Linked DNA regions of Stegostoma tigrinum. The protein of the gene in region 2 interacts with the protein of the main gene of each other region in a biochemical or structural test. Links are inferred from orthologs where the notes say so. Each region holds a gene or a part of one and is shown on either strand. Other genes may lie near its edges. The genes, in order: nck2b, erbb2, erbin and SH2B adapter protein 2-like.

Region 1 (8,026 bases), on a different chromosome or scaffold from region 2:
CAATGATTGAGTGTTGTAACTTTGATGATCATTTGAGAAGCATTTGTGCTCACTGCAGATTTTGATAAAAATTGCCAACAAAGATCTAGTAAAATCTGTAGCACGAATTTATCATTTCCAGACATCAGTTGATTCCGGTGCCAAGCCAAGGGGACTGGTAGGTGTCCGAAAACAATTATGTCATCAAGCAGAGTAAACCACCAAACACACTAATATTCCCACAGATCACAAAACTAGTGAGTAAAATGTACTAAGATAATAAAATGTGAGGCTGGATGAACACAGCAGGCCAAGCAGCATCTCAGGAGCACAAAAGCTGACGTTTCGGGCCTAGACCCTTCATCCTATGGATGAAGGGTCTAGGCCCGAAACGTCAGCTTTTGTGCTCCTGAGATGCTGCTTGGCCTGCTGTGTTCACCCAGCCTCACATTTTATTATCTTGGAATTCTCCAGCATCTGCAGTTCCCATTATCTCAGTAAAATGTATTACATGCTTTCACTTATAAATAAAATTTTAGACGTCAAATGATTGATTGGCCCAGAAACGTGTGTTTAAAATAGAAGCTCAACTGTAAACATTCAATATATTTTTTAAAAAAGCAAAATGATGAAATTTGACACTCAATACAGAATTCATTTTTTTTCCCCCAGGGATAAGATGCTCAGAAGTAGTTATTAAGTAAACTGTTAAAAACTCAGTTATGCCTCATTCAAAAAAGAATTTTCAAGGCTATTTTACAGTGAAATTAGCAGCATAAGAAAATGAGTTTTGTTAATTCAGTGATTTTTACTTGTTACAATCTGGGGTCACATGTGTTCTACAGGAAAGCATAGCGTCACTGGCAGCAATTGTGAGATTCCTGTATTTAACTGCACAAACACACTCCAGAAGTTGTTAGTTTCAATGTCATTATTACAGTAAATCTGGGACAATGCAAGCTGAAATATAATGCAATTTCATGATGTGCCTATAAGCCTTTAGGTCAGCAAATAGTATGTTACAATCCCTATTAGATTAAGATAAAGAAAGCAATTTTAGGGAATTTAAGATTTTATTCTAGGTGCTCCCAGTTTTAAAACTATGAATTAACAATATGAATTGTTGTTATTTTAACCATATGCTTATCGTTAACACTCAAATGGCTTCATGAAACAGAATTAAGCTAGAAAACAGTGACATGCCATCCAAATTCATAATCTCAAAATGCAGTTTTGATAGTTTTAAATATTATTTGACTGAACATCTGATAATGCTTTTAATAGAGATCAAAATTGCAAACCTCTCCACAAAACTGCTTTGCTTCAATACTTATGATTTTTGCATAAATTAAATACTGAAGTCACTTAAACTCATGGAGCATCCATAGACCATGAGTGAAAAGAAACTTCTAAGCTATCGGCACTCCTAGATTGCAAGAGTTTTCACATCCTGAAATGCAAAATCTTTCACTTACATGTACCACAATCTCATTGCTAGTTTGAGGAACCACCTACATGCAAAGCATTTAACTGTCAGATTTCTACAAAATCTCATGCATCTCTTGAGATTAAGCACACAAAGCCACTAATTTTGTTGTTTCACTGGCTGAGAATACAAAAAGGGAATGGCCACAGAAGCTTGAATTTAAGCAAACAGCTATACAGACCATAACTGCACGGGCTGAAGATCCAGTCTTTATGAATTCCATTGCAAGCTATACTGGGAAAGGCAAATTAGGAATCATTGCTCTCGACTTCTTGAAATGCAAATTCCTCCTTTAAACACTGAGAAGACCAAAGGCATTACTTTGGACCTCTCTATAAGCTCCCTTCCCTCATTACCAGCTGAACGTAGCCCTCCTCAGCAAGTATCTGAAGCTGGACTAGTGTTGGGATCTCAGGTACCATACTTAACCTCTTCATCATGAAGGCCATCTTACACATACCTCTGTAACTCCTGTCTCAGCTGACAGTTCGAAATACTTATCCATGACATTACTACCCACATTGATCATTCATTCCAACATTCTCATATACTGCCTACTTTCTACCTCTTATCATAAACTTGAGCTATTGAGCATATCCATACTTGCATTAAATTCTAAATGCCTATCACTTCAGAATTTTAAATTCTGATTCTTATGTTCAGATCACTCCACAATCATTTACCTCCCCAATCTCAGTAACTTCTTCTAATTCTACAATGTTCTAAGAATTTCAGGCTCTTAAAGCACTTTCCCATTGACTTCATTCCACTATCAATAGTAATGACCTCAACTGTCTAAATACTACTTTCAAATTCCCTCCACAGAACTCTCAATGGCTTTTTACTGCTTTAATTCTCTCCATAAAATCTATTTCTGGGCTTAGTGTCTATTATGTTCCTGTGAGACACTTTGGGAGATATAGAAATGCAACTGCTGGAGTGTAGATGCTGGATCAACACTGTGTTGAACTACATTGGAAATAACTGACCAACGTGACATCTTGCCAACTATTAAAATCCAAACACAAACTCAGGAAAGTTCACAGAGGCACTTGTGAAACTAACTGTATCTCACCAGTAAGAAATAAAGGATTGCGGAGACGAAATTAAAATTAAAAAGAGAGGAAAAATAAAGCATGCATGTGGTCCAAGAGGTTCAAAAATGGACATAACTCGTTTGCTATCAAACCATCAATCCGGAATACAAAGCGGGTAGTGTTTAATGCATCAAAAAATTGGAAATCACAGCCCAACAAGTAATGTTAAAGCTCTGCTTCGTCAAGAAGGAAAAAAGAGAAGGAAATGGTCCATGTGAAGGAAGTTGTACTTTTTGGAGGTGGTGTGTTGCTTTTGTCTTTTTTTTCCTGAGGATGCTGCTTTCTGCTCTGCTCCGCACCTGAATGGTTACTGGGAAGCGAGGAGCCTCCAAGTTCGCCCAGTGACAGTTGTTGCCCGTCGCTGCCCCCCACCAATTACACCCCGGGCCATGCGCCATCGTGTACCGGGGGCAGGGCCCTGACACCGAGGCCGCCACCGCAGCGGCAGAGCCGGCAGCCCGCAAGCACCAGCACTCACCTCCGGCCTCTCCCGCTCTGCTCCTCTTCTCCAACGACTGTATATATCGTCCGTCCTTTTTTCCACTATCTCCTTTTCCTGCCAACGACTCCGAGCAGCCTCGATTCTCTCCTTTGCCCCCTCCTCTTCTTCTTCTTCTTCTGCCTCCTCTCTCGATCCCGATCCCGATCCCGATCCACTCTCCTCCCCGGATCACAGCAAATGGAATACGCCAGACGTGGCCGAGTGCGCAGAAGCAGAACCGTCTTTCCCCCGTTCCATCGCTGGGCAGGGTGCGCATGCGCGATGCCGTCCGTTTGCCCAGCGCTAGCTAAAAGGGAGGAGATGTTCGGGAACCGGCGAGTATTCCCTTTTCTTGGGCTTGCAATACATTCCTGATGTCTGTGTGTGGGGAACGCCATTTGCTGATCAATGCTGACCCCTCTTTAAAACTTCACCCAATTTTCTTCGACAGAATTCACACATGACACTTGCAGAGTTCTTCTGATTGTATCCCATACTAATAAAAGTTAAATTATTGTTTCGAAAGATGCAAATCCGAGGTGAGGAAGAAAACTTTTTCACCAAAGTCTTGGAAATCACTAGCTGAAACTGTGGCGGAGGCAGATTCAACTGCCGTGGTCCAGAGTATGATTATCTAACTATATATAAAGTGCACGGTAAAGAGGAAAATGTAGTAGTTTGACAGTAATCCAAAATGGTCAGAGAGCTGGAACAGCCACGATGGGTTGAGTGGCCTCCTGAATGGTAATAATTTTGTAATTCTGAATTGGACTTGGTGTTTGTGTTTCCCTTATATTGTAGGAGATTCAAAGAAGTCTCATTTGAATAAAGTTAGACTTTCACCTAAAGTTCTGCAGAGCAATTGGTTTAACATTTTTAAAAATTCTGAAACCTGGCTGTTAACACTCAGAATGTAGGAAAGCTCCACTCATGTGAATATTAGATATAGTAGAACTGGCTCTGGTGCCAATGAAATTTGTGAACAATTTAATGTAGAAGTTCAGACCTTTTGCCAATTGTTCAGTGGTTAAGTGAGTTGCCTGTTTTGGTACTGGGAACATAGAAGCAGGATTGGACCAATTTGCCACCATAAGTCTGTTCCACCATGCAGTTTGCTCATGGCCAAGTTTCATCTTGACTCCTTCGACCTGCAATTTTTCATAATTCTTAATGTATTTGCCTAAGAAATTTCAGAAATTTCAGTTTTAATTTTTTTACTCAATCTAAAAGGCAGAACGCCTGAATAATTTGCTTCTATATTGAGTTTTTAACACACCCCAATATTCAATTGTATTACTCTGCTATGAACATTGCTATCTTCAATTCATTGTCAAGCAAGATCATTTTCATTGCCATGATACACAATGTAATCAACAAAAGTTTGAAATAATCACACTTTTACACACAGCACGCTGGAGCTTTTTTTAAAATGTATTTTGTGCTGCAAGGTGTTCAATTGTTGCTTAATACCTGACTGTAGTACAGTAACGAATGATGTGGCATTCTGGATATACATGCCCATAACAATTTGCTTGCTAATTTTTTATTATCAATGTAATAACATAACACGTAAAGTTCATGGAAAGAAATAATAATGTTCAATGAGAAGCAGAACTGTTGTATGTGCAGGATTTCCTTATTCTTCTAGATTCAGTTTTTTTGGGACATGAGCTGTTACCTTGAGTGGACAAAATGCATAATGTAATTTTTAATACACTACAACCCTGCGTCTCTTGGTAAATGAGAATTGTTTTATGTTTTGAATGGTTTGTTTACAGGACATCAAACAATAACCTGAGCACAATGTGAACTTTCAACTCGGAGTAACATCTATGACATGTTTTAACTTTTCTGTTAATGTAGCAATGCTGCTAGTCATATGCAATGAGATTAAAGATTTGTTCACCAACTTAAAATAGTTCCCGTTGTGGCTTCCTGTACATTGGGGAAACCAAGCGGAGGCTTGGGGACTGCTTTGCAGAATACCTCCGCTCGGTTCGCAATAAACAACTGCACCTCCCAGTCGCGAACCATTTTAACTCCCCCTCCCGTTCCTTGGACGACATGTCCATCATGGGCCTCCTGCAGTGCCATAATGATGCCATCCGAAGGTTGCAGGAACAGCAACTCATATTCCGCTTGGGAACCCTGCGGCCCAATGGTATCAATGTGGACTTCACAAGCTTCAAAATCTCCCCTTCCCCCACTGCATCCCAAAACCAGCCCAGCTCGTCCCATCCCCCCACTGCATCCCTAAACCAGCCCAGCTTGTCCCCGCCTCCCTAACCTGTTCTTCCTCTCACCTATCCCCTCCTCCCACCTCAAGCCGCACCCCCATTTCCTACCTAGTAACCTCATCCCGCCTCCTTGACCTGTCCGGCCTCCCCGGACTGACCTATCCCCTCCCTACCTCCCCACCTATACTCTCCTCTCCACCTATCTTCTCCTCTATCCATCTTCCGTCGGCCTCCCCCTCTCTCCCTATATATTTCAGAACCCTCTCCCCATCCCCCTCTCTGATGAAGGGTCTAGGCCCGAAATGTCAGCTTTTGTGCTCCTGTGATGCTGCTTGGCCTGCTGTGTTCATCCAGCTTCACACTTTGTTATCTCGGATTCTCCAGCATCTGCAGTTCCCATTATCTCTGATCACTTTGTAACTTACCACTTAATTACGTCTTTTTATCAAAATTAGAATATCGTCTAAAGTTAGATGTGGTTTCGTTTAGAAGAAGTACAAAGGGATCTGGAAGTGCTAGTCCAGGATTCTCTAAAAGTTAACTTGCAGGTAGAGTCCGTGATTAAGGAAGCGAATGTAATGTTGTTGTTTATCTCAAGAGGGTTGGAATATAAAAGCAGCGATGTGCTTCTGAAACTTTATAAAGCTCTAGTTAGGCTCCATTTAGAATACTGTGTCCAATTTTTGGCCCCACACCTCAGGAAGGACATACTGGCCCTGGAGCGTGTCCAGCGGAGATTCACGCAGATGATCCCTGGAATGGTAGGTTTAACGTATGACGAATGGCTAAGGATCCTGGGATTGTACTCATTAGAGTTTAGAAGGTTGATGGGAGATCTAATAGAAACTTAGAAGATAATGTATGGCTTAGAAGGGGTGGACGCTGGGAAGTTGTTTCCATTAGGCGGGAAGATTAAGACCCGTGGGCACAGCCTTAAAATTAGAGGGGGTAAAATTAAAACTGAAATGAGACAACATTTCTTCAGCCAGAGAGTGGTGGGCTTGTGGAATTCATTGCCACAGAGTGCAGTGGAGGCTGAGACGTTAGATGCATTCAAGGCAGAGATCGACAAATTCTTGATCTCACAAGGAATCAACGGCTACGGGGAGAGTGCAGGGAAGTGGAATTGAAATGCCCATCAGCCATGATTTAAATGGCGGAGTGGACTTGATGGGCTGAATGGCCTTACTTCCACTCCTATGTCTTATGGCCTAACTCATGCTTTTTTATCTGAGTTGTCAATACCTAAGTCAGAATCAACATTTGCAAATAGTGTTTTCAGTACTTTGAAATATGACACATTTCATGGGATGATTTGCAAAACAGGCTTATCAGTGATCATTGATCTTTTTATATTGGCCACAAGAAAATGTCTGCATGTCATAAAGAGCTTTGTGCTTTCTAAATTGGCCATCACATTTCACCAGCACTTTATCTCCTGGTTTACATGGTCTGAATTGTATGGATCACGCTGTACTTATTTATATTTAATCCTTTGGTTCTTGATTGTATTCACATATGGCAGGCCAGTCTTCAGAGTGCTCGGTTTCTGGATTTCTCAATTGAAAAATAACCAGCAGCATGGTTTAAACAAGATAAAAGGTGATTTGTTCAACGAAAGTTATTTTGTTAAAATGTGATAAAAAAAAGTTATTGGCTAATACACTGATGCAAAGACTCAAGGTTAGTAAGGGTAAAAATTATGTCTGAATATGAAAATAAGGTTTGTTTCTCTTATCGCTGCAGGCATGGCTTGCAAGGTGTTCTCTAAACAGGTTGAAAACTTGGAGTCAGTTTCAGCATCTGTGAAGAACGGAATAGAACAGATCCTGGCAGTGAGCACAGACTGCTTTGTTTCACTTTTGTTGTCCTGCAGATTCAGACTCTTGACAATCTGATTTAGTATAACAATCCTGGATACCACCCTATGTCTCCATTTTTGTCTTCAGAAGATTCTGTTGAGATCTCAATGCAATGGGTGCTCACTTGTACACAGTTCAATATGTCAAAAAGACTGCCATCCCAAATTGTCAAATTACTCTTCCATATAGGCAGCACAGTGGCTCAGTGTTTAATATAGCTGCCCCCCAGTACCAGGGACCCAGGTTCAATCCCATCGTCAGGAAACATTCTCCCTATGTAAGCGTGGGTTTCCTCCAGGTGCTCCAGTTTCCTGCTATGGTCCAAAAATATGCAGGTTGGGTGGATTGGCCATGCTAAATTCTCCATAGTATCCAGGCATATGCAGCCTACATGAGTTAGCCATGGTAAATGCATGGTTACGGGAATGGGGTGGGCAGACAGGTCTGGGTGGGATGCTCTTCAGGGATCAGTGTAGCCTTGATGAGCCAAATAGCTTGCTTCTATAGTATAGGGATTCTATAATTAGACATTGGATTTCTCCCTTGGGAACATTTTTTTTGGTTAAAGTAATTTGTTTTATACCTATTTCAGCCATTAGTTTGGAAGGTTCTTGTTCTGTCAGATTTTTGGTGACATAGTAAAGTGATTTATATTGCCAGGCAAGCCACTGAAATTACTTTTTGTTTACATTTGAAAATGCTAACTTCAAAATAGTCAATTGAGGAGCTGTGCTTGCCGAGTAATTGCAAATAAAATGATAGGTCTCCTGCTTCCAAAACTTGTTCTCATCAAGTCACTTTCTTAAAGGTACACAGAATTTTCTTGACCTCTCCATTAGCTCTTGGAAACAAGGGTTTTTGATGAGTGAAGTCCACATAATTTA
Region 2 (7,488 bases):
CATGACATTGAGGATCCCTGTTCTTTTCCAAAATGGTAGTCAAACTGATCTTTTAACTTTACCTGAAAGGTCAACATCAGTTTATTTCTCAACCAAAAGTTAGCAACTCCGACAGCACAGCACCCTCTCTATATTGTACAGATACTTACCAATTGAACTTGCTGTGATATTTAACATAACCCTTATCTTGGGTTTCAACTCTACTTTCTCAATCACTCAATATTTCTCTGCTCTGAGAGACCAAAAATATGTTCAGCCTTAAATATATTCAACCACAGAAATTCCACAACCCTCTGGAACACGACTTGATGACTAGAATCAAACTCTAATAAGAAACCTGATCCTAGAATTTTGACAAATGAAATTTTACAAATAATGTGCCAATTGTCTCAGAGCTGGGCTTCTGATCCTATCTCCTTTCCATTACCAAGGCCACCTATCTGCACATTTGTAACATTGGCCACACCCACAGCCAAAATCATCAACAACACATTTTTTAGTTCTGGGTATAAAAATATCCAACAGACTTGCAATTGGTCTCATCTTCTGCCCTCTAATCACTCTACATCATCTGAAATTCCGTTCCCACAAAACTAATTTTCACGGAGTTACATCCACCAATCACCTCCACTTTCAGTGACTAATGTTGCATTGTCTCGCAGATCTGCTGCACAACCATTTTAAAATTCTCATATTCAGATCCAAAACAGTCGAGCACCTGGCTCCTACAAATCTGAATTATTTCCTTCGCATTTCCGATATCACCAAATAACTCACCTTTTCAAAAATAATAACCAACGACCCCAAGGGAGTGCCGAGGGAGCGCCGCACTGTCGGAGGGTCAGCGCTGAGGGAGCGCCGCACTGTCGGAGGGTCAGCGCTGAGGGAGCGCCGCACTGTCGGAGGGTCAGTGCTGAGGGAGCAGGCACTGCCGGAGGGTCAGTGCTGAGGGAGCGGGCACTGTCAGAGGGTCTGGGCTGAGGGAGCGGGCACTGTCAGAGGGTCTGGGCTGAGGGAGGGTACTGTCGGAGGGTCAGTGCTGAGGGAGCGGGCACTGTCAGAGGGTCAGTACTGAGGGAGCAGGCACTGCCAGAGGGTCAGTGCTGAGGGAGCGGGCACTGTCAGAGGGTCAGTGCTGAGGGAGCAGGAACTGTCGGAGGGTCAGTGCTGAGGGAGGGTACTGTCGGAGGGTCAGTGCTGAGGGAGCGGGCACTGTCGGAGGGTCTGGGCTGAGGGAGGGGAACTGTCGAAGGGTCAGTGCTTGGGGAGCGCCGCACTGTCGGAGGGTCAGTGCTGAGGGAGCGGGAACTGTCGGAGGGTCAGTGCTGAGGGAGCGGGCACTGTCAGAGGGTCTGGGCTGAGGGAGCGGGCACTGTCAGAGGGTCTGGGCTGAGGGAGCGGGCACTGTCGGAGGGTCAGTGCTTGGGGAGCGCCGCACTGTCGGAGGGTCTGGGCTGAGGGAGCGGGAACTGTCGAAGGGTCAGTGCTTGGGGAGCGCCGCACTGTCGGAGGGTCAGTGCTGAGGGAGCGGGAACTGTCGGAGGGTCAGTGCTGAGGGAGCGGGCACTGTCGGAGGGTCTGGGCTGAGGGAGCGGGCACTGTCGGAGGGTCAGTGCTTGGGGAGCGCCGCACTGTCGGAGGGTCAGTGCTGAGGGAGCGGGCACTGTCGGAGGGTCAGTGCTGAGGGAGCGGGCACTGTCGGAGGGTCAGTGCTGAGGGAGCGGGCACTGTCGGAGGGTCAGTGCTGAGGGAGCGGGCACTGTCGGAGGGTCAGTGCTGAGGGAGCGGGCACTGTCGGAGGGTCAGTGCTGAGGGAGCGCCGCACTGTCGGAGGGTCAGTGCTGAGGGAGCGGGCACTGTCGGAGGGTCAGTGCTGAGGGAGCGGGCACTGTCGGAGGGTCAGTGCTGAGGGAGCGCCGCACTGTCGGAGGGTCTGGGCTGAGGGAGCGAGCGCTGTCGGAGGGTCTGGGCTGAGGGAGCGGGCGCTGTCGGAGGGTCTGGGCTGAGGGAGCGGGCGCTGTCGGAGGGTCAGTGCTGAGGGAGTGGGCGCTGTCGGAGGGTCAGTGCTGAGGGAGCGGGCACAGTCGGAGGGTCAGTGCTGAGGGAGCGGGCACTGTCGGAGGGTCAGTGCTGAGGGAGCGGGCACTGTCGGAGGGTCAGTGCTGAGGGAGCGGGCACTGTCGGAGGGTCAGTGCTGAGGGAGCGGGCACTGTCGGAGGGTCAGTGCTGAGGGAGCGGGCCCTGTCGGAGGGTCAGTGCTGAGGGAGGGGGCACTGTCGGAGGGTCAGTGCTGAGGGAGGGGGCACTGTCGGAGGGTCAGTGCTGAGGGAGGGGGCACTGTCGGAGGGTCAGTGCTGAGGGAGGGGGCACTGTCGGAGGGTCAGTGCTGAGGGAGCGGGCACAGTCGGAGGGTCAGTGCTGAGGGAGCGGGCACAGTCGGAGGGTCAGTGCTGAGGGAGCGGGCACTGTCGGAGGGTCAGTGCTGAGGGAGCGGGCACTGTCGGAGGGTCAGTGCTGAGGGAGCGGGCACTGTCGGAGGGTCAGTGCTGAGGGAGCGGGCACTGTCGGAGGGTCAGTGCTGAGGGAGCGGGCACTGTCGGAGGGTCAGTGCTGAGGGAGCGGGCACTGTCGGAGGGTCAGTGCTGAGGGAGCGGGCACTGTCGGAGGGTCAGTGCTGAGGGAGCGGGCACTGTCGGAGGTGTCACCTTTCCGTTCACACTTGGCCTGATTGGGATCGTCCGGGCTCCTGATCGCTGTCGGTATTGAGCAGTGACTATACCTCTCTGCCGCAACACCCCTGCCCGCAGCGACACGCAATCTGAGGCCACGGCTGGATCACCGTCCCCACACTAGCTTCCTACTCTCCCCCAACCGCCGGAACACCGTCCCAGCCTTATCTCACCGCAGGCCTTACCTGGCCTCTGGGCCGCACCGAGCGCTGCGAGGAGCAGAAGCCCCGCGAGCCGCATCGTCCCGCCGGCCGCGCGAGCTCCACTTCCGGCCGGAGCGGAGTGGGGCGGGCTCCGGCGGTGGGCGGGGCACATGGTTGCGGTGGGGACAAATAGCGGGCGGGGCTTTTGGATTGTTCTACGGGGGTGGGGGAGGGAAGGAAAATGGTGGGGCTGTGTGAGACCGTGGGGCCAGCAATGAGGGCGTGGCTTGTCGTGTGCGTGGAGCAGGGATGAGGGGCGGGGCTTGCCGTGTGCGTGGGGCCGGGATGAGGGGTGGGGCTCGCCGTGTGGGTGGGGCACAGCTGTGGGGCGGGGCTCGCCGTGTTGGTGAGGCGAGGAGGAGCTTGGCCTTTGTGTGGGCGGGGCCAGAGAAAGGTGAGGTTAATGGCGCCGTGTCTGGCTGCGGAGAGGGCCCGGCGGTACGTTTACCCGCTGTTAGTGTGCCGGGGGCCGATGAAGGTGTAACGCAGTAATCCTGTTGGATTGTTGTACGTGTCCGTCTCTGGGATTCCCGCCCGCCTTGACGATGTGGGCTAATGCCTTGGCCTTGTACTGCTTGGGCCTTGCCGCTGTCTGTCTGCCTGCCGCCTCTTGCTCCCAGGGGGACCGGGAGCCCTACTACCGCCACTGCGTCCAGATGTGTGGGCGACACAACTGTACTGGAGCCCGGCTGCGGATTTTCCACAAACTGCAGCCCCTCTACATGATGGCAGCAGGTAAGGGCCACATCCCCCAGGGTACGCGCCACCCACCCCCCACCCCCGGACCCCGAACCCCGACTCTCGTCGGGGTTTCTGTCCGTTTTGCTTTCATTGCATCAAAATGAGTGGGCATTTGATCAAGAATTATTTTCCTTTGTTTCTTTACTCAGACTGAGGCAATGCCCGTTGATTCAACAGTTGTCTTTTCCCTATTGCAGTGGCCCTGAAGTTAGTTAATTTGTGGTTGAGTTGCTTGTTAAAAGTAGCTTGAATGTTGACCATGTCTCTTTCTACTGGCAGGTTGGAGTTGTGCTGATGACTGTCAATACAACTGTATGTGGCTGACAGTGGGACTGTACGTTCAGGAAGGACACAAAGTGCCTCAATTTTATGGCAAGGTGATGTGGGTGCTGCAGTAATTTAAATTATTAATTGATACTGACTTTGGTTGGAGCATTCAATATCTGATATTCCTGGGAACCAGTAAGACCACGAACCCTTATTGTGAACCCTACAATGACCACTTTGGTGTGACCCTGAGCCCCTTCACAAAAATATTGCCTGTAATTTGATGTTTCTCAAGACCATTTGTTGAGCCCCACCACCACCACTGCCCTGGCTAAGGATGCTGGATTGTTTCTTGACTGAACTAGTGCTTCTCTTTCTTTTTGCAGTGGCCCTTCTACCGATTTCTGTTCTTCCAAGAACCTGCCTCAGCCTTTGCCTCTATGCTGAATGGACTGGCCAACTACATGATGTTGGGCAGGTACCGGGCTGCAGTGCCTCTCGAATCTCCGATGTACCATACATGCATCTCCTTCGCCATGGTAATGACAATACTAAACTCTGCTGTTGTAAAAGAGTTGGTGTCTCTCGACAGTGCAGTGAAGAGATACTGTAGAACAGGAAGCAGACTGATACAGCCTGTTAGAGGTCCAGGAAAGCAAATCACCCTGAGTTTATCTTGCCTCCTCCTGTGACCACATGCATAGCTTTCCAGAGAAGTTGGGAGCTGGGGCTTGTTTGCAGTTTTAAATTTTTGCCCATAATTGAGGGTGTTTTCACGGAGAGATCGGTGTTGAGTCACCTCCAGCTTGTACGGTGCTGCTTTAAGTCCGAGTGACTTTATGAAGGTGTAATTAGTGCCTTTTAGATTTCTCCCAGTTACAATCTTGAATTGAAGTGCCAAGAGATTATACTAAATTTTTGTCAGTGATAGGTTTGACCCCTGCTGAAATGTTGTCCCATTCTGGGCACCGCACTTTGGGAATGATGTCAAGGACTTTTGCAGAGGGGATTTACCAGATTGTTTTCCCAGGGGTGAGGTATTTAGTTAATTAGGAGATGCTGGCACAGTTCTCCTTACAGCAGATTTGATAGAAATGTTGAATATCGTGCAGTAGCCATAATGTGTGAATATGTGAATTTGTCCAGAAAGAGCAAAGAAACAGCAGATTATCTAATAGGAGAGATTGCAGAACTCAAATGTTCAAAGCTGTCTTGTGTCCTGGTTGTTGAAGCAAAAGAACTATGCACGCATGGCAAGCCATTAGGAAGGCAAGTGGAATGTTGGTGCTTACTACAAAGTGAATAGGATATAAAAGTAGAACTGTTTCGCTCCAGTTATGCGTGGTGTTGATGAGACCACATCTAGAATACTGTGTAAGGTATTGGCCTTATCAGAGAACAGGTTCTACTAGATTTGGGGCTATATAATGTGGCAGCATTAATTAATGACCTCACAGTAAACCTAGAGGTAGCAATGATGACAATATGATTAAATTTTGTGTCCTGTTGGAAAGGTAAAAGTTAGTATAAGACTATATTTTAAACATAACTAAGAGTAACCATGTGGGTGTGAAAGCTGAGCTAGCTGAAGTGAACTGAGCTGAGCTATAGATGAGGGATGGATCAGTAGATGGCAGAAGGTCAGCTTTACAAATAAATATTTCATGGAATGATGGTTGCCATCACTTCTTGCCCTGAAGATGATTGTGGTGAGCTGCTTCCTTGAACCATCGACAAGATGCACAAGAGAAATAATCAAATCTCCTCAGACCATGCCTTACAAGCCCACAACTCTTATCTAGGAGGACAAGAGGAGCAAATTAATGAAAATACCACCATGTGAAAGTTCCCCTCCAAGCCACGCAACACCTTGGCTAGGATGTACAGTAAGTGTTGGAACTCCCTCCCTAATGGCATTGTGGGTATAGTTTCAGTAACAGTACTGCATATCCTAGCCAAGATGGTGGTTTGGAGGGGAGCTTGCATGCGGTGGTTTTTCCAGTAATCTGCTCGTCTTGGCCTCCTAGATAAGTGAGCTTGTAAGGCACTGTCTAAGGAAATTTGATAAATTTCAATAGTGCATCTTGTAGATGGTACACACTGCTGCTACTGAGTGCCAGTCTGGAAGTAGATGCATGTACATGTCGATTGAGCTGCTGTTTTGTCCTGAATGGTGTCAAGTTTCTTGAGTGAGTTTTGGCATTGCACTTATCCAAGTGGAGAGTATTCCACCACACTCCTGTCTAATGCCTTGTAGATGGTGGACAGGCTTTGGGGAATGAGGAGATGAGGTACTCCTGACAAGTTTCTAGCCTCTAACATACTGTTACAATCATACAGAAGATGCCTGTGGCCCACTAAGTCTGCATTGACAAAAATACCCAATTCTCACTAGACCCACTACCCAGCACTTGGTACGTAGCCTTGATTGTTACGTTTCATGTTCATCCAACTACTTTTTAAAAGTTGAGTTTTCCACCCTAAACAACCCTCCCAAATAGTGTTTCAGATTCCCACTGACCTCTAGTTGAACAAGATTTTCCTCAAATCTCTATAAACCTTGTGCCTCTCACCTTAAAATTATGGCCCCTTGTTATTGACCCTTCAACCAAAGGGAAAAGCTGGTTTCTTTCTACCCTGTATATGCCCTCCATAATCTTCTATACCTCCATCAGGTTTCTTCCTCTCAGCCTTCTTTGCTGCAAAGAAAAGGTGCTGTGCTTATCCAGCCTCTGTTTATTGCTGAAATGCACCGTCCGGGGCAACATCCTAATGAATCATCTCTGCACCTGCTCCAGTGCAGTCACATCCATCCTATTGTGTGGTGTCCAGAATTGCATTCGGTACTCCAGCTGTGGCCTAATCAATGTTCTGTACAGCTGCACCATAGCTTCCCTTCTCTTGTAAGCTATGCCAGACCTGATAAAGGCAAATATGCTGTACTTGGGCCTTAACTACCCTAATAACCTATCCTGCCATCTTCAAAGATCTGTGGTCAAAGCACCCAATATCCATCTCGTCCCCTGACCTTCCTAGCATCCTGCCATTCATTGAGTGTTCCCTTGTCTTGTTACCATCACCTCTCATTTATCAGGGTTAAATTCCAACTGCCACAGGTCTGACCAATCTGCCTATCCTTCTTGTAATCTAAGAATAGCACTGAATATGAAGGGGAAATGGTTAGATTACTTCTTGTTAGAGATGCCCCATGGCACTGTGACACATCCTAGTTTCCACTTACCAGCCCAAGCCTGTATATGTTCAGTGTCTTTGTGTTGGAACATGGACTGCTTCAGTAGCCGAGGAGTCAAGAATACTGCTGAGCATTTTGCAATTGTCAGCAAATGCCCCTACTTCTTACAGAAGGAAGGTCATTGGTGAAACAGCTGAAGATGGTTTGCTCTATTACCCTACCCTGAGGAGCTAAGGCTTAAGTGGTACAATGTCTCTATGCCAGTGCTTAAAGTGTGGGTTGAAGTTCTCCCCTGCTCCACAGATGAGCGATAACACTTGTGATCAGCTTGACTGGAAAGTATTGACGCAGAGTA
Region 3 (7,206 bases), on a different chromosome or scaffold from region 2:
TCATCCATCACATCTATATTAGAAAATATTTCCAATTAGTCTCCCTGTCTTACTTTATTCCATAGTCCCGCATTTTTTTCCAAACATACATATACTCTAGTACAGTACAGTGATGGGCTTCATTTACAACTTTTTGCATTGAACAAGCACATGTCTGTTTCCAGTGGATCTACAATGACTTATCACTGTGGAGACATTAATGAATAGCTGCCATTCTCTTTTTTTGGGGGATGGATATGTGGTGGTCATGTCACTGGAGTAGCAATCCAAGACCCCAGGCCAACGCTCCGGTAACATGGGGTCAATTTCCATAAAGCAGATGATGAATTTTGATTTCAATTTTTAAAAATCCTGGAGTAAAACCTGCACAACGGCCACCGGGTTATGACTATCAATGTCATAAAAATGAGACTGGTTCACTCATGTTGCTCAAGGAAGGAAACCTGCTGTCCTTACTTGGTCTGGATAAAAGGTGATTCCAGACCTACTGTAATGCAGTTGACTCTTGATTGCCATTTGGGCCCAGGCAGTAATGCTCACATCCTGTGAACAAATAAAAAAAGACACCACCAGGTCTTCTGGCATAGTAAAACCCAAAAGAACTGTGGATGCTGTAAATCAGGAACAAAAACAAAGTTGCTGGAAAAACTCAGCAGGTCTAGCTGCATCTGTGGAGGAGAAAACAGAGTTAATGTTTTGGGTCCCGTTCTGAGGAATGGTCACCGGACCCGAAACATTAACTCTGTTTTCTCCTCGAAAGATGCTGCCAGACCTGCTGAGCTTATCCTGCAACTTTTCCTCTTCTGGCATAGTGGTTAGTGTTCCTGTGTCTAAGCCCAAAAGCTCTGGATTCAATTCCCGTTCCAAGGCTTGATAGCCAAACAAAGTGCATCTGTAATGTTGCCAAACAGATTGGACATTAAACAAAAACAAAAATTGCTGGAAAATCTCAGATGTGGCAGTATTTGTGGAGAGAAATCAGTTAATATTTAGGTGTGGTGAGCCTTCAGAATTGATGGTAGCTAGGAAAAGGATTTGTTTTATACAGAAGGTCGTAGGGGGGTATGGGAGTAAACATTACGTGGAGATAGACCCCAAAGAGAAGGATAAACAAAGACGTGGATAAATACCAGGCTAGGAGAATAAACAGCTGCTAACGGGAACTATTAGTAGTTAAGAATAGATAATGTCTGGTCGCAGCCTATGTTATGACAAGGCCTGGTACATTTTGGTGGTGGAAAAATGAGGAAAGGTGCTCAAGTTGTAAAATTGTTGAATTTGATATTAAATCCAGAAGGCTACAGGGTTCCCAAATGGAATAATCAAATATCAACCTGCAAATCCTTCAAACACATGCCAGTGACAGATGGCAAGGGCGGGGGACATTCCTGGCCGGCCATGTGACAAAGAACAGTGGAACCTCCAACATCATTAACCATTGATCCAGATCACAACATACAGTAAAAGGTACACATTGCCAGAGCAATTCATTAGTCTATGAGAACTGTAACACAGCACCACCACAAACCAACACTGCCACTTCACTCCTCCGTCCCTACATATGTACCTTATTATGAAAGGCTAACTACGGCAACTTGTTTATGCACATGCCTTCGGTTGTATTATAGCACTTCTACAAAGTATATTTCTGGGACTTGTGCATAAGCAGCAAACATTATTGTTTTGAAAGTTTTGATGACAGCTTCACACTCCAGTGAGTAACAAACCACAGAGCACCAAGATTCAGTTCAACTCTAAGGAACTGCAACTCAAAACCTTCAAACATACTTACACTCTTCTGTTAACTCAAAGCTACAGACAGCGACTTAATTTTGATCTCAAACCATTTGGGTAGCTGTGAAACCAACACATGCGTGTTTGCATGTACCTGTGCATCAAAAAGATGGATATAAAGACGGATATAAAGATCGACTCCGCGTATTTTCAACACTAGATTTTTTTCGGACCGCCAGCAGAAATTGAAAAACGAGGTCAAGGTTCCATCAGAAAGGGAGGGTTGGAATATGGGTTAACATTTGCTTCCTGTCATCCAAAAGATATGCCAGTTGCTTCTTCCTAATATCAAGCCACTTATCCGAGCAAGTAAATACAATATTTATCTTCTAACACCGTTACTGTGAACATGCCAGTGTTGATGCAATAAGCTGTTTCGGCTCAAGCCCTGAAGTTAAACAAAGGGATCTCTGTCTGATACGTTTAGACCTTGAACAGCGTCAACTGGTCAAGGTTTAAACACCTCGAATGCAAAACTTCCTTCTCTTCTCACCAAATAAACAATACTTATCTCTCGTTTGGATTGCTATGTTTTACACCGGGTTTGGATGTGTAGGTCATGACTGCTATCCTAGCACTACCTTTTTTTTTGGGGGGGGAGGAAGGTTGGTGTTAGAAAAGAGTGTGTAGGCCTTCCCTCCGAAGGCGAGCAGAAACCAAGCCGAAAACAAATTCCAAGCACAAGCCATTTTACCTTCACTCGCCACTGATCCAGACGGCCCGCTTCTTCATCGGCTTCCGATTTAAACTTCAAAACAATCCAAAGGTTCGATCCGGGGGTGGGGGGGGGGAGAGCTGGGCTTTATGTGGTATTCAGAGCCGAGGCAGGACCAAACACAATTTCTCCTTTTTTTTAAGGGGGGGTGAATATTAAAACAAAAAAGGAAAAACTCGCGAGCTCTCAACACAAGCTCTCCGATCTCTGTCGATGGTAGTTAGACCAATTAAATCTTCTGCGCGCTGAACTTTTGCAAGTCTTTCCCCCCCCCTCTCTTTCTTCCCCCCTCCTCTCCAATGATGCAACCAAGTCTCTCGCGGTTTGTCGTCTCGAAAGTAACTTTCAGATCCGTCGCTGAATTTAGAGGTTCGCACGCAAAATAAAGTAATTAAAATGGAGTAAAAGACGACAGTGGGAGGAGAGGGGGAAAATGTACCAAGTCCTTTCAAAGCAGGAAACGGCGGGCAATCGACAGCATTTCCCAAGACTCGATAAGTCAAGAAGAAAAAAAATGCAACAAGGGAGTCAAAAAAAGTCCCCTATCGCCGAGTTTCACCTTCAGGAAGGAGCTGATGTGGTTCTTCCTCCTGCTGCAGCTTTATTTTATTAAATAACTTGCCCCCCCCCCCCCCCCAACTCCGGCTCCTTTCTTACTGTAAGATTGCCGCACCCAAATCCATCCGAAATTAATTTCTTCACCCCCCACCCCCCTTCCCTCCCCTCCGTGTCTGGCTCTGTTAACGATGCAGACAGGATCACCAACACATCGCTCCAGGTTTTCGCGCAACTCCCCAGAGCCTCAGGCAAATGAAGAGAGAAAGCAGCCAGTAGAAACCACTGCGTCCTCAGCAGACACAGCACACTGACCGAGAAGGAGGGGTGTGTGTGTGTAGTTTAGGGAGGGAGGGGAGAATGTGAAGTGAAACACAGGCAGATATGCACCGACAAGATAAAGCAACAGCGCCAGCTGTCTCCAGCGGCTACAATGTCGCCTGGGCGCCCTGATTGACATTTCAAGCAACCACACGCTGCGGCCTCCACACTCCCCTGTCAATCAGCATCCCCAGTCCCAATCATCTCCTGCTCCTGGGTCAGGGGCGGTCTCTTCCACGTCTCTGCTTTAAAGTTTCCTTTCCTCTGGTTGGGTGATTTTTTTGAAGGGTGGAGGTGGGGGGAGGGAGGTGATGGGATTGAGGATGAGAATAGGGAGGGGCTGGAGGTGGGTTTATTAATATCATTTTCCAGCACACCGCCGTCCTCATTTGCACTAAAGTTGATGCTTTGGGGGAAGTTGAGGCCGCGAGATTGTGCCAAGTCACTTCCATTGTGTCTTTCTCAATCTCCCCTCCTGCCGGTTAATAATTTCCAAAACCGGGCTGGCACGCAAAAAAAAGCAATTTACATTCATACAGTGAGTTCTGAAGAGAATAATGTAATTTTTTTTCCAGTTTGCTTTACGAATCCAAATAAGATATGCCGTTGTCTTATATATGAGGCAAACCGCTTTTGAGAAGGACATAGTGACTGACTGAAAACTCATTCTTTTGGCACAGGCACAGAGTGGAACTTGTCGCACGGATTGAACGCCATTCTGTTTGGATCAGATTCATTGTCTGACTCGGCCACCACAACATCGGTTTGTAACACGGACACCACATGAATTCACTCATTTTATTTAACACTCTCAACTCCGAACTCGCTGTACCGTGCTCAAATCAATTTTTTAAAATTCTATTCAGTAAACAAAGACCAAGAAACAACCAAGTTTTGATCATGTCGGATTTGTGCCACATCTGTGATTTTTATCACCGGGCCATTTATATTTTTTTCTGTGACAAAGTAGGATATATCTTAAAGACATTCAGACACGCAGAAACCCTTGAATCGGTATATATTTAATTGATTTCTCCTTTCACAGATGTTGACTTGTCCAACGCGTGGAATCCGCTTTTGTTTAATATACTTCTCGCATGTAAAATGTGAATAGGTATAACGTGAAACTGAGACAAGAAAATCATGAGACTGTGCAGTCCGCGTCGAATTGATTCTCGTCTGCTTTATGAAGGGAGAAACAAATACGCTGTGTTAGTAAATACTGTCGCCTGGAAATGGGAAGATTCAAATGCAGTATCATCTGCTTGTTTGAACTGCTGTGATTCACAAATATATCACAGTGCAGTGCATGTTAGGTTCTGTTTTCCCCCCAGAAATGGAACCCGTTAAGCGTTCGAAGCTGACTGTGCAGCGCAATCTCTGAGGCAGTTGCTTTGGACCAACATGCTCCTTTAGTTTCCTCCGTGTACTATGTCGTGTTATCAGAATCTGTCTTCACAACCGAGACATCGGTGCAACCCTTCCTTCCTGAATACTTTCCTGTCTGCATCCTGCATAAGCTTCTATGCACGCATAATCTCAGATCTTCAAAAAGAACTGCGCTCGTCTTGCCTTGAACCTGCGCCATCGTGTTCAAGCAAGTTTCTGTCTATCGTTTCAATGTAGCTGTACTATGAAAGCATTAAGGGGTTTTACTCCATCATTTTGTAAATCAAAATTTAAAAAGAACTATTTGTATTTACATTATTAAACAGTTTATTTGTCTCAAAGCTATAAAACTGATTTTTAAAATTAGTTTTGTGAATATAGACCAGCACGATAAGAATGTTTTTTTAAACAGTCTGACGGTAATTTCAGAAATTGCCTTTGGGTAACTTAATATTTTCAGATAGAATCTGCTGTGTTCTGTAATCTATTCACAGAATGAGATCAATGCTGACAAAGCAGCTTTTATCTCTATCCCTGCCTTCCCTAACGATATGATCGCATCGTTCTCCTTGAACTACTGCAATCCCTGTGAGGAAGGTGTTCTCGTAACCGTGTTAGACATTTAGGATTTTTACCAGGTAATAAAGTTGGGAGGATGCATTCAAGTCAGGGTAGTGTGGATAAGTTGGAACTATACCTTGGCAGTGATGCAATGCTCTGATTATTCTGCACTTTTCCCAGAAAAGGTTTTTGGAGCCAGGAGGTTCTGTCGAAATAAGCTGAGTGAATGACTGCAATGTATCTTACATGTTGAGCATGATTATATAAATAAGCACAGAAGCACATTAGTGCAGGCCCCACAAATAAAGTCTCATGCTAGTCACTGAGAGGGTGAATTCTGAGCCTAGTTTCAAGGCTGCTGACCAAGCAGATCAGGTGGGGTTGACTTGTTTGAATGGTCTCATGGTAGCAGCCAATCAGATAATTGGTTCATCTTCTTCACAATCATCACTTCAGCCCGATAGATGGTAGAGTGGCTCTGAAGTGTCAAAAGGAGATTTGCAAAGTTCTTGACCTCTGCCTTGTTCTTGTAAGCCCTAGTTTAGTATATGGCCAGTTAAGAGATGATTCAAGGTGATTCCCAAGAAAAAATGTACAGTGAAAAAATAAGATCATAAGACACCAGATCAGAAATCAACCATTCAGCCCTTTGAGCCTGTTGCACTATTCAATCAGATTATCAGGTTGACCTGATAATCTTCAACTCTACCTTCCTGACTTTTCCATATAACCCTTGATACTACTGCATTGAAGATCAAAAGGAGATGGGTGGGCTCTCTCCTGCAAAAACATAGTTACCTGGCTTTTAATTTGTTTTTGCCAGGCCAAGCCCTTTGTATTGCCCAAATCCTGCAGTAAACTCGCCTGGTTGCTTCACAAGTAGAAGGTTTGTGAATGAACAGTGGCACAGCAGCTTAGTGGTTAGTGCTGCTGCCTCGCAGCCCGAAGCATTGGGTTTGATTCCACCCGCAAGCAACAGTCTGTGTGGAGTTTGCACGTTCTCCCCATATCTGTGTGGGTTTCCTCCAGGTGCTCCGGTTCCCTCCCACAGTCCAAAGATGTGCAGTGTAGGAGGATTGACCATGATAAATTGCCTGTAGTGTTCAGGGTATGTTTGAGTCGGATGCTCTGAGGGTCGGTGTGGACTTGTTGGGCTTGAAGGGCCTGTTTCTGCACTGCAGGGATCCTGCTGTGGAAATATTAGCAAATTGTCTTCCTCCTGATTTAATTACAGGAGGAAAATCATTTATGGAATTGCTGAAGATGTTTATGTTGAGAGTACTTTGCCTGAGGAATTCCTGCAGCAATTTTCTAGAGCTGAGTTCTTGATCTTGCATAATCAAAATTATCCTTCTGTGAGCCTGGTATAACTTTGGCAAGGGGAGCACTTTGCCCCAACCCCAGATGATTTGTTTGTTGAGATCCAGTGCCATATTTGGTAACCATATAAGAAATAGTAACAGGAGTGGGTTAGTCAGCCCTTTGAGCTTGCTCCACTTTTCAATAAGATCATGGCTCGTCCAACACTCCTCATGTCAATTTTCCTATCCTTTCTCCATAACCCTTGACTCCTCTCCTGATTAAGAATCCATCTCAGGCTTAAACTGAAATGTCAATGATATTATTTATATATAGGAAGCACACAAATATGGAATCTGTTTGTTGTCCATTAAAAATGGGAATATATGTGATTTTCGCTATATAGTAAAGATAGTTATAAATTCATATGAACCAACAGATGTTATCAAACTTTATTATAACTCATGGGTACTCCAATTACTGTGATATATTGATGTTTCAGTTGGTACAAAGTCAGCAAAAACAGACTGAAAAATACTGCAAAATCTCACTTCAGGCAATGTGACATGAGG
Region 4 (7,872 bases), on a different chromosome or scaffold from region 2:
CCTTAATGAAGTCCATATAGATCACATCCGCTGCTCTGCCCTCATCATCTCTCTTTGTTACTTCTCCAAAAAAAACTCAATTAAGTTTGAGAGACATGATTCCCTTGCACAAAGCCACTCCTAATCAGTCCTCAAGTGGCAAAGAACAGGAAAACCTTCCAGCACAACACCAAAGCGAGGGAGAACTGCCACTACTGCAAAATAAATATTTTTGTTTTAAACAAGATGATACAATACCTAATCATATCAGGAATCCATGGCATCAGGAATAGCATTATCAAAATTTAATTTCAGAGATGGGGAGAGAAAGAAAACAAAATTGGACATTCTGGAGTAGAAATTCTTTACTCTCAGAATAAATTCGAAACCAAGTACAAAGGCAGAAACTGAACAAATGAAGTGAATACACTCTTGTATACCAGTTGGGAGTACAGCAGAAGATGTATTGCTCGCCGAGAGTGAAAAGCAGCAAGATGCACACTCGAAAAGATATCGAAAACCTTTCGCAGTTCCTTCCACATCATAGCTTTTAAAATCTTACAGCAAAATGTGTCAGAAGGATACACACCTGAGAAGTCAACAAACAATTTCTTTCAACAATTTCTACAGTTTTGTGGAGAGACACGACCATGGGGATTTAAGATCAGAATTCAAGAGGAGACTGAATTGTTGTAGGTATTACTAATGAGTCTGTCATATTAATGGCACTACAAAGATTCTAGAGAAAGTCATTTAGATGGTGAGTGAATCAGAAGTTTAGCAGCAACACAGACCAATCCCTGGGGGAAGAGAATCAAAATCGACACAGATCTTCGAAATCCAACAAGCTGGTGAGTACAGGGGAAATAGTTGAAAGGGATTTGATGTGAATTAAGATACTGGTTTGATAGATCTTATTTTACAGAGGGTAGGATGGGAGAGAACAGCCAGAGGTGAATTGGAATAATTGGGTTTAGACATAACAAAGGCATGGATGTGGATTTCAGCAGCAGATAAGCTGAGACAGGGCCAAACTTGGACATTGTGAGTACGTTAAGCCCAGAAGTGACCGTGCTCAAACAGGTCACAACAAAGAGCTCCAATTGTACAGCCTGCATCCAACATATTTCTTTTTTTTAACTACTTTCCTCCCCTCCAAAAAAGAGGGGATCCCAAAATGTTTAATTTCCACACTATGTGAGATGGAGAGGGGGAGAGAAATTCTCTCTCTGAGGATTTAGAGTCTGTGGAATTCTCCTCCTCAGAAATCAGTCATTGAATATTTTTAAGGCTGAGTTGGACAAATTTTTAATAGATAACACTGTCAAGGATGACAGGCTAAAGGAAAGTGGTGTTGTAACCACAACAGCCATGACCACATTGAATGGAAGGAATGATTAACCTACTCCAGCTTGTAATTGATCTGGCAATGGCTTTTCAGGAGGTGGAAATGTTTGGCTTCAGTGGTCAGAAGCTCATTTTAGGGTCAACATTGACACTAAGATTGCCAACAGAAACCAAACGAGGGCACAGATTTAAAAAGCGGCAGAAGGATATAGGAAGAGGATGATATCAATTCACCCCCTCAAAAATATCCCATCATTCAGATAGACCACGGCTGATCTTCCTCTCTGCTTTCTCCATCCACCCAACTTCCTCATCTTCATCCCCTGTCCTAATAAAATCCACCAACATCAATGAAGATTGTTCTGACCTCAGCTGCTTTTGGGGAAAAAAAAATTAGAAATTTCTACTAAATGAAATGTCTAGCTCCAGCTGTAAAGGTCTTGTTATGGACTCCATGGATGGTTTCTGTTGAATTATTCAACCAAATCCTTTAAAAATTGTTTCAAATCCATACAAATAGATCACCGTCTAATATTCATTCATCAAAAAGGAATATAAGGTTAATTTCCTCAACTTGTCCTTTTAGCATCAAATCATTTTATTGAATCAGGCTCATCCTATCCAAGGCCATTATATCCCTCCTGATATACAGAAATCGGAATTGAATGCAGTACAATAGATCTTTATATAATTATAGCTTAACTTCCAGCTCTTTCTATCATCCACATTTTGTGTGCCTATCCAGGAGGATGTAGAAGAAAGATGGAGAGATTAAAAGAAAAAAAAACAGAAGTTACACAAAGGGAAAGTTTTACAGTAAACGCAGATGAGGGGCATGAGAGAGTGCACGTCAAAGAAATAGATCCGGAGTGGGTAAAAGGAAGGGGCAAGGAAAGGGCATTTGAAAGATCTTTTCATACATATTCAACATCCAGTGCACAAGAGGAGATTCCTATCAATACAAATAGATCAGGATTTATAAAACTGTCTCACACCCATCTCTTCCCCATCCCCACACAAAGTTAGAGAGGAGGTGCATTGGTGCAAATAGAGGTTTGAAGGAAATGGTGAAGTCATTGTTCTTTGTTGGGAATGTAAAATTATCCATTAACATGATCAGCCGCCCTCCAAAAACTATCACCTCGTGTGTTTCAAGAGTTCAGGAAAACAAATCAGAAAATTAGCAGGCAGAAATAGCAAAGAATTTGACCAAGAGTACAGCTTCAAATAGATCCGTAGTCAGCACCTGGGTCCTTTTCAACAATTATCGTTATAAAACCATCCTTAATTCTACAAATTCATTGAGATGTTTCCTGCATGTTTGGAATATTTCGTTTTGAATGCAGTTAATCTTGTTTCAGGAGAACAATAACCTCAATGTTGATCGGTTCCTGTCTTCTACTGATTCTTAATGTCTACGCGGGGGCGTCGGGGTGGGGGAAAGAAGGGGAAGTAATTAAATTTGGGGTTAACCCTGTGTGACCAGCGGTTAAGGGCGAATCCCAGCCTCAGAACTTCAGTCCGCACACAGTTTAAAGAGGTAACTCACCCACATTGTTACAATATCCCACGCTTTTCCCCTCCCGTCCATCCCTGTCAAGATGGAACTGCATCACAGATGGAGGCAGGCTGCTCTCCCACATTGTAACTATGACTACTGAGACATCATAGCCTTTTCCGCTATCTCGCCTCTTTACGATACAATAATGGTGTCACGACGCTATTTGTTCTATGTTTACTCACGCCCAGAGCAGGTTCCAGATGTTTGCACTGCCGTCCTCCCGCTTCTGCCAGCTGTTTTTGTCCCAGCGATGACCGGGGCTGGTTAATTTCCTGTACGATGTCCCTGTCAGTTTCAGTTCGGTCCTGCGCACTGCTGGGATGTAAATCTTGGCCAGTCCAGGCTTTTGGGGGCGGGTGTTTCTCTCTTCTCACTCACTTAGCACGAAACAGCTGCCTCCTTAATGATATCACAGCTGAGGAATTCGGGGGCAACTGACAAAAAAAAGTTTAATTTGAAACAAAAAGTGCTTGCCAAATGCTCAGGGCCAGTGAGTAGTGTTCACCTCAGATGTCATTGTAAACGTCTCCCCAGCTGATTCCCAATCTGTGTCTGAGTTACCAAAGCAACATGTGTGGTGCCAGTTGTCTGATGATTCCCATCTGCCGAGACCGACCTATTGATGTATTGGTCATGGTAGAAAGCCATCCTCAGTGTCCAAGCCTTTAGTAAATCGATACAATCCATTAACCCGCTTGTAAAGAGTCACTACCAAGTGAGATTCATGTCAGATTCCTGATACTGGGGGTAGAATTCCCTGATGTTTCAATAGGCAGGCTTCCAGATTCCCCTGTATTCCTGGTGATTAGGTATCTGGCTCAGCCAAGGAGGTCCTGCTGCCCAGTTGTTCCTGGCTGTTCCAGGAAATCAGGGAAGGAGAGAGGATTCATGGAAATTCGGATTACCCTTCCACCAGGATTGCCATTTATCAACTTTTACAGCTCCTTTCCCTTTCTTTTGAATATTTCCTAAACGATTTAATAAAACCAATTGGGAGCTGGGCAAGTTTTGTTTTGAAAATGATAGAACTCAGTCAGACTCATCCAAGCAGGCAGTGGAGAATGTTTCCTTTCTAGTTAGCTTCAGGGCGACCAATAATAGGAGTGAGGGGAGATGCCAGGTCAAGTGAGGTCACCTGCCTGAATGTGGACCGGAATTGAATGGGTTCTTGTGGCACCGTGGTAGTGTCCTTACCTCTGAGCCGGGAGGTCTGGGTACACATCTCACCTGCTCCTGAGGTAAGTCGTAACATTCCTGAACAGGTTGAATAAAAAAATTCTGGACCAGAATTGCCCTCCCAAGACCACAAATCTTGCCAGTTCATTGGCCGGTTCTTCAATGTTACAATTGCTTTTCTCTGACTCTTTAATGGGCTTTCATAGAGTGTTGTGATCCAGACTGAAAGCATTGGTCTGAGGAAAAGGGGCATCAATTTGAAGTTTGCACCATAAATTGTACTGGAAGCCAGTCAGTATGACATTAATGCTGCCAATTGGAAAATCAAAATCCAGGCTAATGCTCTTGGTTAACATCACATGGCTGAACAAGCACCCAGTGGCTCAGGTTATTGATTACACTGTCTCAGTCAGTGCCTTTTCCGAGTTTTTACGTCGCCCGTCGATGCGTCTTATTAGTTCTACCATCTAGCTCTCCTCTATAGATCTTATGCAGGGAACGACTCTTCCTATCATGTGGCAGAATTCCAGGCCGGGAATCTTGAGTGGGGAGACACATCAGGGGTTAGCAAGTTTAACTTGTTTCCATCATCTGATGTGTTGGAAGAAAAAGTGTATTAAACACCCTATTACCCACCACCATTACCTGTGACTAAAATACTATACTTTATTAAAATCATACCAACTCTATAAAACCACACTAAAATTAATCTAAAATTCAATAAAACTAATAAAACTTAAAAACATGCAATAAAATAAATCACACACTTAAAACTAAAAAGTTAAAATCTGCAAGCTGCTTATCAGAGCTTTTCGGAGTCCAGATAATCTTTAACATGTCATTAAAAACCTGTAAAAGTTCCAGAGTCAATGAGATGGTTAATCTGGATATCTTTTGGGCAAACATCCGGAATTTCTTAATACCAAGACATTCCATAAGGTTAGTATTCCACAAGGTCCATTTGCCACGTGCACCCATTATAAAACAATAAAATTCAGGCATCTCGCCCTTTGTCATCTCCTTAATATTATTCGCCAAGTGCCTGTACTTTAAAATTTTCTCCTCCCTTGCTTTTTCCAGGGCATCCTCATTATTTTCAAACCATATCGTTACATCCACAACCACAACCTTACTATCTTTCTGGAAAATTAGGTCTAGTTTCCACACTTTACCACTTGCTTCCTTTATTCGGGGTTCCACAAAAGTTCTCCATCCATATCTACTCATGAATTTATATAGTCTTTCTGCAATTTTATTATGCCTTTTAATTCTCATATTTTTAACTGCCGGACACCATCCCGATATATGAGGGAGCGCTTCTATTGAAGTATCACATCTCCGGCAGTTCTTATTGCAGAGAGGTTGCCCGTGAGTTAATGTTGTACGTGTGGGATAGACATTAGCACGCAACAGTAAGGTATTTATCACCTTTGATGTTTTCATATTCGAGGCCATTCTTATCCACCCATTAGAGATATCATCATTCTTGAAGTACTGTACTCCCAATCCTTGGCATTGTAATGACTCCCATCTATATAATTCGACCTTCCTCCAGTCCCGGTAGTTCGAGCTCAGACTTTTCACTGTCCCTACTTTCTCATTTTCCAAGTCTAGCTCTTCCAACCTGACCGGCCATACTTCCTGCATTGTCTTCAGTTTCATCAGTTCTCTAACATCATCAATATTCCTTTCATGACAAAACTGAAATGACACGGGAATAACCATGTCATCTGTCATCTCCAACGCCACCCTTTTCTTTAAAATTGCAATTGGGACCTGTATCTCCAGCCTTTGAATCCCTAAGACTCCATCTCTGTTGCGGGCATAAATTATCCCATTTGCTATATGTGATGGCAGATGTAAAATATCCTTTATAAAATCACGAATAAAAGAGTCTAACTTGCTTAACAAATTCTGCGATGCTTCCGCCAGAACCAAATGGTGGTACAGCCGAGGTATGAAATATAAACGAAAAATCTCTAGTTTCTGTAACGATCAGAGAGTTGCTTTCCCCAGGTTTGCTGTCCATTCTTCCAGAATTCCTTCCCCGTTTTTCAACCGCACACCAATCCACGGATCAATCATGGCTCCGAGATATTTCTCATACTCTCCGGGGTTGACATATTGCACAGTTCCAATTCCTAGAGTCCATTCCTTCATATGATTATATAAAAATGTTTTATTCTTATGTTGGAAATGGAAGCCTTTTGTTTTTCAAATATTAATTTTTAGGCCAGTGTTATCACAGAATCGTTGTACAATCTTCAGGTTATTTACCATACCCCTATGAGAGTTGCTCACCAGAGCAATGTTGTCCGCGAAGGCTAATGCGGTACAATGGACAGTCTCACTCTGCCACTCCATTGATACTCCCGTTCCCAGCTCCTCAAGCGTACTAATCAGAGGGTCCATCGCAATATTAAATAACATAGGAGATAAAGGATCCCCCTGTTTCACACCGCAGTTGATTGCTATGGGGGGGCATTCTAAACTTATTACCCTCCACCACTGCCGTGTTGTTAGTATAAAGATTCACCATCAACTGAATAAAATCTCTCGCAGCGATACCCTTTGTAATGCTTTAGCAAGTAGTTTACGCCCTATTGAGTCAAAAGCCTTGGCCAAATCCACAAAGGCCAGATCTCTACCCAGTTTCTTGGCTCCTTTAACGATATTCCTTCAAATCATCATATTTTCACAACACCCTGATGACCCTGCCAAGAAACCTTTCTGTCTAATATTTAATTGCACTACCGTACTCAATCTCTTCGCCATAATTCTAGTAAAAATCCGCAGTAAAATCGGGCCTATTGTAATAGGACGCCAATTATCTATATCTTTAAGACTATCGAGGTCATCTGATTTAGGTATTAGTACTATTCTACTTTGTTTCAATACCTTAGGAATTACTCCGGTCCTCAACCACGCAGTGAAGAGACGTGGGAGCCAAGTGACATTCGTTAAGTGTATATCCTTAATGTCTTTCAACCCCCAATTGTCGACCCCTGCTGCAGTTTTTGGGTCGGATTCACGAATGGCCGTTTCAACTTCTTCATTCTCATAATCCTTATTTCTATTGTAAGGTCTAAACCTTGCGATATTTGCTTTATCATTAAAGCCAGCCAATTTTTCTTCAAACACACCGGTCAAATATTCTACCGTGAATTGATTAATACATCCGGTGGGGGGGGCTCCCATCAATTCCCTAGCAAGTTGCTTTCTTTTTGTTTTATATAACAATTGACTTGCACGGAATTTAGCTTTCTTTATAGCATATCTCCTTTGGGCCCTATTTCCTTTGAATATTCCCTTCCTTACTAATTTTATTTTTATTCCTTTCCCCTTCCCTGGTATTCTCCTTTCGATCCTTGGCCAATAATCTCTCAGTACACATTTCAATCCACCTATTCACCTCATAATGATTACCTTTTCTTATATAATTTTCTAATTGATCTAACATTTCATCCAGTGTATTAACTTTGGACTTCAAGAGATTCTTCCTTATTCAATTTCACCGGTTCTTGACCCAATTCGTCTAATTCATTACTCTCACTTGTCAACTCTTCCAACTCTACACCATCACTACTCCTAGACATAGTCTCCTTTACTCTTTTATTTATTACGTTTTTAAGACCTCTTCTCTTTTCCGCAATCTGTTTTGCTGTTTTAGATACTAAACCTTCAGCTATTTTCTTATTAATCTGCTTTTCCCCACAATGTCTAGCTTCGAGTTGCAATAACAGCTGAACTTCTTCTTCTGTCTATATACCTTTTCTCTTACCTCCAGCCTTATTTCCACTATTTTGCTT

What was found.
Region 1: the proteins of erbb2 (region 2) and nck2b form a complex in vitro, tested with the Homo sapiens proteins (2 studies listed by BioGRID and IntAct, with this or other methods). The link is inferred for Stegostoma tigrinum from reciprocal best matches to the Homo sapiens genes ERBB2 and NCK2.
Region 3: the proteins of erbb2 (region 2) and erbin form a complex in vitro, tested with the Homo sapiens proteins (4 studies listed by BioGRID and IntAct, with this or other methods). The link is inferred for Stegostoma tigrinum from reciprocal best matches to the Homo sapiens genes ERBB2 and ERBIN.
Region 4: the proteins of erbb2 (region 2) and SH2B adapter protein 2-like form a complex in vitro, tested with the Homo sapiens proteins (2 studies listed by BioGRID and IntAct, with this or other methods). The link is inferred for Stegostoma tigrinum from reciprocal best matches to the Homo sapiens genes ERBB2 and SH2B2.

The regions. Positions count from the first base shown.
Region 1 is NC_081359.1:64,799,296-64,807,321, reverse strand, and holds the start of nck2b (cytoplasmic protein NCK2b), read right to left. Parts: upstream 3,157-8,026; 5' UTR 3,041-3,156; intron 1-3,040. UniProt on the Homo sapiens protein: Adapter protein which associates with tyrosine-phosphorylated growth factor receptors or their cellular substrates. Maintains low levels of EIF2S1 phosphorylation by promoting its dephosphorylation by PP1.
Region 2 is NC_081384.1:1,011,792-1,019,279, reverse strand, and holds the start of erbb2 (receptor tyrosine-protein kinase erbB-2), read right to left. Parts: upstream 3,126-7,488; 5' UTR 3,045-3,125; coding exon 2,915-3,044; intron 1-2,914. Other genes in the region: pgap3 (post-GPI attachment to proteins factor 3), read left to right, coding at 3,478-3,667, 3,953-4,050, 4,327-4,479. UniProt on the Homo sapiens protein: Protein tyrosine kinase that is part of several cell surface receptor complexes, but that apparently needs a coreceptor for ligand binding. Essential component of a neuregulin-receptor complex, although neuregulins do not interact with it alone.
Region 3 is NC_081356.1:111,630,229-111,637,434, forward strand, and holds the start of erbin (erbin), read right to left. Parts: upstream 3,143-7,206; 5' UTR 2,489-3,142; intron 1-2,488. UniProt on the Homo sapiens protein: Acts as an adapter for the receptor ERBB2, in epithelia. By binding the unphosphorylated 'Tyr-1248' of receptor ERBB2, it may contribute to stabilize this unphosphorylated state.
Region 4 is NC_081380.1:2,456,186-2,464,057, reverse strand, and holds the start of SH2B adapter protein 2-like, read right to left. Parts: upstream 3,186-7,872; 5' UTR 3,070-3,185; intron 2,987-3,069; exon of another isoform or gene 2,876-2,986; intron 1-2,875. UniProt on the Homo sapiens protein: Adapter protein for several members of the tyrosine kinase receptor family. Involved in multiple signaling pathways. May be involved in coupling from immunoreceptor to Ras signaling. Acts as a negative regulator of cytokine signaling in collaboration with CBL.